Linked DNA regions of Drosophila melanogaster. The protein of the gene in region 1 interacts with the protein of each later gene in a pairwise test. Each region holds a gene or a part of one and is shown in the gene's direction. Other genes may lie near its edges.

Evidence for each region. Proteins that work in one complex are often made in the same cells at the same time.
Region 2: the proteins of Obsc (region 1) and mask interact in a two-hybrid assay, tested with the Drosophila melanogaster proteins (one study listed by BioGRID).

The regions. Positions count from the first base shown.
Region 1 is NT_033778.4:24,012,436-24,016,189, reverse strand, and holds the start of Obsc (obscurin), read left to right. Parts: upstream 1-1,935; 5' UTR 1,936-2,328; coding exon 2,329-2,337; intron 2,338-3,151; coding exon of another isoform or gene 3,152-3,154; coding exon 3,155-3,276; intron 3,277-3,334; coding exon 3,335-3,466; intron 3,467-3,530; coding exon 3,531-3,701; intron 3,702-3,754. Other genes in the region: CG4324 (uncharacterized protein), read left to right, coding at 41-104, 163-288, 351-422, 475-869, 932-1,217. UniProt on the Drosophila melanogaster protein: Structural component of the muscle M line which is involved in assembly and organization of sarcomere.
Region 2 is NT_033777.3:24,228,765-24,232,518, forward strand, and holds the start of mask (multiple ankyrin repeats single KH domain), read left to right. Parts: upstream 1-1,797; 5' UTR 1,798-1,884; intron 1,885-1,904; exon of another isoform or gene 1,905-2,194; intron 2,195-2,259; exon of another isoform or gene 2,260-2,890; 5' UTR 2,891-2,959; coding exon 2,960-3,754. Other genes in the region: Acp95EF (accessory gland protein 95EF), read left to right, coding at 228-245, 308-448; Spase22-23 (spase 22/23-subunit), read right to left, coding at 654-1,193. UniProt on the Drosophila melanogaster protein: Mediator of receptor tyrosine kinase (RTK) signaling, and may act either downstream of MAPK or transduce signaling through a parallel branch of the RTK pathway.

The DNA.
Region 1 (3,754 bases):
GGAGGTACCTCTCCACCTAAAACTTTCTTTAACCCAAAAGAGTTACCTTGTACGCTGAGTTTCTGCCCACCAAGCACAAGGGAAAGTGCGTCGTATTGATGGACGTGAGTACGTGCCACCGTGTGCTAAACGTATTTATTGAATATATTGTACTGGTTTCAGTGCTTCTGGGCCTTGGGAGCTTGCTTTGAAGTGGTCCTAGCACTGGTTGTGTATCCCTATTACGGATGGCGAGGTCTCTTGGCCCTTTCGGCTACACCCCTACTCATTTTTACCATCCTATCGCCGGTTCGTATTCCTCGCTCTCTTCAGAAATATCCTTAATCAAATGTATCTTTAAATCACTACAGTGGCTCAGTGAATCGGCTCGCTATTACTCTTACAACGGTCACAATGATAAGGCCATCAAGGTTCTGGAACAGGTGAGTGGTAACTTTATGGAGTGATTATACGTCTAAAAACCTACGATTGTAGATAGCTCACAACAACAAGCGCCACATGCTGATGGGTCGGCTGATGGCCGACGACGAGCCCAGTTGCGCGGAGAGCTTTAGATCCCTGCTCAGCCCGAGCCTGTACAGGACCACCATCCTGTTGTGGTTCCTCTGGCTGGCCTCGGCCTTTTGCTACTACGGCCTGGTGCTGGTCACGACCGAGCTGCTGGTGGCCAGGAACAAGGAGAGCCATCCCAATGAGTGCGTCACCTTCATGACCTCCGACTTTATGGACCTGCTGTGGATCACCCTGTCCGAGTTTCCTGGAATACTGCTGACCATCAAGGTGGTCAAGCTGTTTGGCAAGAAGAAAACCATTGTTCTGCAGTACCTGGCGCTGGTTCTGTGCACTCTGGTGCTGATGTCGGTGGAAAGGTAGTAGTGGTGCACACTCAATTGATCATCTGATAATCAATCCAATCCTCCTCCAATCCTAGTCGCTTCTCCACTTCCGTAACCCTCTTCATTGCACGCGGCACGATATCCGGCATCTTCCAGGCCATTTATGTGTACACTCCGGAAATATACCCAGCTGCCTTGAGATCCGTCGGAGTTTCGGGCTGTTCCGTGCTGGCCAGACTCGGCGCCATGCTGACCCCTTTCGTGGCGCAGGTGCTGATGGACTCGTCCAGAATTCAGGCCATGTCCACGTACGCAATCGTGGGCCTGCTGGCCTCCATAGCCTGCGTCTTTCTGCCCAGGGAAACTGTTGGCTACCACTGAGTGCACTGATTACCATAACTTATTATCTATAACTACTATTAAACCCATTAGTCCCTAGAAGCTGTGTGAATGTTTCATTCGGATTGCCTAGTTTTAGGCTTAGCGGGCTAGTAGTAATCTAAAAAGTCTAGAATAGATTAAGATGCTTCTAACAAGTAACAAAGCTCCTAAAGGGAAAGCTCTAGTCTAGCATTGGCATAAATACTCAGTTGAAGGAGGTGTTACTACTAACTACCCGTTTGTGTTGGTCTAATTGGTGACTAATCTCAACTTTGTAGGCCAATTTCCTCTTATTTATGATTACATTGCTGACAGGTGACAGGAGGAAGTGCAGTTGCAAATTAATTAAACAAGCCAATATTTCTGACCATAAACATTGCGAATAACGTATGGGATCGTATAAATAACTTCGTGCCCGCGCATATATTATAATACTTAATTAAATATGTATGCTGGCGCACTCTGGGTGCCGAAATCTATATGCACTCCTCTGACAGCCATAAACTTTCAGACCGTCCGCTCTGTTCGGCATCTAAGCACATGGCTATGCACATGCAGATGCAGATGCAGATGCAAATGCAGATGCAAATGCAAATGCATTTGCAGATACTGATGGGGATGCGGATGGCGAGTGCGAGGTGCATGGGCATGGGCATTATTTTTAAATTGTGAAACGATGTTCGAGGGGAGCTTTTGTTGTGATCGGCGAATATCGATCAGTCGTACAGTTGTCGGGATGCAGTTAGAATCATTGGTATCCGCACGCAGTAGCCAATATTTCTCACGCGACCGCAGTTTAAATTTAAATCTATTCCACTTTTGAATCGGCCTGGCCCGCGGAAAGGCGGAAAATTCCTCGACTTTTTCAGTTATGACAAGCGAACTCGAGAGTGCCCCGTAGACTAGTCTTCGTAGTTTTCGATACTGGGCTAATGCCGATAATGCCTTAAATCCAGTGCAAATCCAGTGCATTGAAAATTCGAAACGAAATCGCCCCAGTAATAAGTTATGCAATACATTTTCGAATTCGTGCCAATGTGCGTGAGTTAATCAAGTGTGTGAAGTCGAGTTAATCGAGTGATACAAAGTCTTAATATTCAAATCAGCCGGAATGGATGCCGTAAGTTATGCGTGTCCGGAAAATACACTATAGATCGGTCTCTATGAACATGTGCCAAATTTACTTATTAATACTTCTGGGCAAACCAGATGTACATATGTACATACATTGTGTGAGCAAAAGCTACAGTGGACGTCCTTGCTAGGAAATAGCACTTAGTCAATGGTTTTTTCCAACTGCAAAATGTGAATGTAAACTGGTTAACCAGCTAGTGACGAATAAAAGTGCAATTTTATTTAGTTTAGTTTGAGTGCTTCAAGATGATGATACTAGTGACCTTAAAACCGAAGGACCCTAATAGTATCTTATACTCGGTGCACAGATATTTTCCTCTCGAAAGTGAAAGCCACCTCTGACGCGAAGTGGGTTAGGATCCATCTTGTGGTTCCACTGTGGTTCCACTGTGGTCTCGGATCATTGGCCCGAAGTGAAGAGCCCTGTTCGAGGGAACAAATCGGGGGATCAGCTGATTCGGCTGCACAAGCTTTGCACTCAGTAAAATTGGACATCGGAATAAATAGCCGAGCCCGCGTGTCTATGTCAACGCAAAATAGACTTTCAGCTAGCGGGCTAAATATTGCTCAGCCACTTTTGTTTGTGAAATAGCGAAGTCGAACGCGTCAAAAGATCAAATCGATATCGCACCAATTGCATAAACCCTAAAAAAACTCACAGATCTATAACGATCTATTTGGGATATATGTACATATATTTTTGTGTTGAAGTATCGAAATGGGTGATAGAAATGTGTGTGTGAACCAAGAGAGTAGCTATAGAAAAGAAAGTTCGTACTTAAGATATCGGTTCTACCCAGCAGGTGGCGGATATCGTGTTTGTGAGTCGGGACTACCAGGCTCAGTCGCTGGCCACGGACGAGATCAGCGTTTCTCGCGGGGATCTGGTCGAACTGATAAGTTCGAAGGCATCCGAAAAGTCAAGGTGAGCGATTGAGTTCATCGAGAAGTGGTATGGTACTCTAGTGCAGTGAGTTTTCCAGATGCTTTGTGCGAATGTTCGATAGCGGGGACTCCCCCAAGGAAGGCTGGGTGCCCATCGATATACTAGAGTTCAATCCCACCATGAGCAGTTCGAATGGCAAGGAGAGCGGCGATGCGGAGTTTAGGAAACTGTAAGGACTTCAACTCACTCCATCCAGTTGGACAGATAGATACTAGTTGTAATGGCCGTTGTAGAACCATTCTCAGGGAGCTGGTGGAAACTGAGGAGGAGTTCTCCAGGGATCTGCTCCACGTGGTGGAGAAGTACATCAAGGGCATCGACAAGCCGGTGGTGCCGCGCTCCGTGCGGGACAACAAGGATATCATATTCTGCAATTTCCTGCAAATCGCCGAGTTTCACAACAAGTAAGAAGCGAATGGGGTGAACTGGAGTACACGAAGTTAACACTTGGATTTTC
Region 2 (3,754 bases), on another chromosome or scaffold:
GTATTTTCATATGTTGGGTTCATCATCTTCGTCTTAAGGATTACATTTTCAAAGGTCAATTAGTCTTTTTCATTGCGTAAGCCTTGTAAAAAATGTTAACGAATTTGATTCAGTTTTAAATTTTGAAACGAACCCATTCGATGCGGCCTTGAATACCAGTCATATATATATTGGAGATCTTTTACACATTTTTAGTATAGTTTTCGATTTCTTTAGCGGATATCAACATGGCCTCAGTAAAATTGGTGTGTTGGTACTAATCATATCTGCGTTCCAAAATCTAATATTTTTTAAAATTTTCGCACAGTTCTTTATTGCTATTTTGGTTGTAGCTCTATCCCTTAACACCTCAGCTGCAGTGTTGAACCCTAGTTCGACTGCCAAACCCAGATTTGAGACGAAAGACCGAAAACTAAGTGCTGGCGCTCTGCAGTCACTCGCTGGTTAATTACTATAGAAAGCTATAGATAAAATTGTCATTATAAAAATGGACCAAAAATAAATTATTTTCAACGAATTTCTCTTAAGTTTCTTTCGTTTGGGATACAGTTCGAAATCTTTACAAAGATATTTTATTTGGGGTTTTATTAGATAGACACTACAAGCTAGGGAACCCGGGCGGAACCAGCTGTATTTAGCATTAGCCCTAAGCTCTAAATGGACGAGGTGGCATAGTCGGCCGGGAACTTGAACAGGTGCTTTCCAGTGGCCTGAACGGAGGGAAGGAGTCCCGCGTTCGGAATGATGTTCCACGAGAGGTATAGCGATACGTTGCGGTTGTCCTTCAGGCCATTCCCGTCGTCCCAGAAGTAGTACTTGGTGTTCATGTTCTTGAAGTCCAATACGGCATTGTCGCCGCGCAGGATAATCTTGTCCCACAGTACCACCTGGTTGAGTTGATTGGCCGGTGTCTGGTACTCGGCGGTGAGATACAGGAACAGCTGCTTCACGTTCCAGTTGAAGATGCCTGTGAGATTCGTTTGCAGATCGAAGGTCACGAAGCCCAAGTCGTGCTTCTCCCGGGACGCTCCGTAATCCGGGACATTCTTCACCAGCACTCTGACCGTGTTGATGTTTGCATCGGTACGGTAGTCAAGAAAGACGGTGGACAGGAAGCAGCTGAAGGTGAGGCAAGCTAGAACGCTCAGCGTGTATGCCACCGTGGCGTTTCCTCGGGTTAACACCGTGTGCATTTTAATATCGTTTTATTCCTGCGATTCCGGCAAATGACACGTCGTGTTGTTAGTTTGGAAAAAAATTAGAGCTGGGACGATAATCGGATGAACGCGATACTATCGATGACTTTCCCGGTTCGGCCCGAAAGAACAACGCGAATAACCCGATTTCCTTTTGATGGTTAAAAATCAAAATATTTCGCGTTAAATCATTTCTATAGTCGTAATCGTAAATATCAGGTCATCATTTCAAAAACTATTCGAATAATAATTAATAATTTAAGCATTGCACAATTTTTCCTACATGGGCACACTTGCAGCAGAGAAAATTTGTTTTATATTAAAAACCGAAACATGGCAAAGTCGTGTATGTAACCGCAAAATCAAAATCAAACAATTTCTAATTTGCAAGATTCTTAAAGAAGATTAAAAATATCTCCATATTATGAACTCTCTCATATATAACAAGAGAGAAGTTAGTAAACAAATTCAAAACTAATGGGACCACAGCCAGACTATTCAAAAATATCACCCTGCCGGAAACAAAAGTGAAGGGAGAAATATCGATGTGAATTTATATCGCGAGCCGCAGTATGGTCCTACCTTTTCTTTCAATATCCGGGAATAATATGGCGATCCGAAACTCTGACGATAGACAGAGAATTTAACACTGCTGAAAAATTGATTAATTTGCTAAAAATTTTAAACGGTAATACGCGCAAATATTACCAAATTGTTGGGCATCGGTTGGGGCGTGAATTGTGCTAGTTTTTTGTCCAGCAAACGTCACTTAATTGGTGAAAATCGACATCGGAATAGTGGCAAAAAAATTTTCCCTCAGTCGCTCAGCTATTTTCTGGCTTCGTCTGCGCGTGTGAGCGGGATGGTGACAGCGGTCCGACTGGCCGCGTCAGGGCATCGCGTGTGCGGGAGAGAGACGAGGCTATCGACCAAGCGAGAAACGCATACGCCAAAGTCGAAAAGTGATTTTTTCTTCGTTCGTTCGGGCGAAGTCGAAACTGCTGCGAAAAGTTTTATAAATAAAGTATTGCAATTCCAAGTTCTCGAATGTTAGTAAACTTGCGAAGTGCAACAATCGATTGGTCGTTTCGGCGGCGTCTCCCCTCTGCGATTATATAAATAGTGAAGCACGTTGCCCCGAGTCCTAATTGCGCATCGATTGGTCTTGTATCCGTGAATAAACGAAATTGGCGATACGAAACGTGGGGAAATTAAGTGATCTAGTGCAATTTTTTTGTTTCGTCTTGCACCTGAATCATTTTCGGTGTAAAAATGTGAATCAGTGGACAGGGGAAATGGAATGGAATGGGAGAATTAAATGCGAACGAACGATGTACGAACGAGTGTGCAAAGGCACAGTGAAAGAATGCGCAGAGTTGCCACCTCGCTGGCTCATGTGCTTACGTGTGTGTGTGTGTGTGTGCGTGCGAATGTGTGTGTTAGTTTCTTTGCCCATCGCATATATATAAACCAATTCTTCACAATATCCAAAAATCAATATAACCCAAGAACCTATTTTTGTTGATGTGTTTCTGTGCCGCCGCCGTCACCGCCGTGACCCTACACACCTTTGAAAAACACATCAACAAAGTTGTTAAATTCACTTGTAGTGAAATTTATTTGGGACGTGACATCTGTTTACCCAAACTAAACATTTTAATTTCTATACCTTTACTTCTTTTGATACCCGAAAGGACGCGCGAATTGAAAGTAAATCAAAAAGAATAACCCCAACAACACAGAACCTCCAGCGAGAGAGTAAAATGAATAATGATGCGAAAAACCATGAAAGCGATGACTTGAATGTGCGCTCCACAGCGTATTTTAACCAACAAACCACAACCAATCAACCGAAAGCACCAGCAACCAGCAAGAATAACACAGGCTCTGGCTCTGGATCCAATAATAACAATAACAACACCAATCAAAACCCCAACAGACAGTTGAATCATAATTTACCCCGAATCGCTGCCGCCAGACAATCGATAGCCGCCGCTCTATTGAAAAACAGCGGGCGGAAGATTCTGACGGCCAAGAATGAGCCACTGACGACGACGGAGTCATCAGGCGTTTTAACCAACACACCTTTACCCAGCAATAGCCGATTGAAAGTTAACAACAACAACAACACCAATAACACTGCCAAGATGTCTGGAACTAGTAGCAGTCAGTCCTCGGCCACGCCCACACCGCCCACGGCCAGCAGCAGCACAACCACCACAACAACAACGAACATCAGCACCGGAGGCGGTGGGAGTGGCAGCAGTGGCGGTGGCGGTGGGAGTACCACGGTCATTGCCAATCCCGCATCGGTAACCAACACCGGAGCTGGAAGTGCCGCCAAGTTCCGTGCCGCCGTGGCCTCGGCGCCCAGCCCAGCACTGCCTGCAACCAACGCTCCTGCAAATGCAACTGCTGCTGCGGCAATAGCAGCAATCGCAACTGCTCCTGCCCCCAGTAGTAGCTCCTCCAGCTCCTCGTCCTCGAAGAAGACTAGAGCAGCAGTGGCCGCCCTGAAGCGACAGGTGGCCTTGCAACAGCAGCAGCCTGTTACCGGT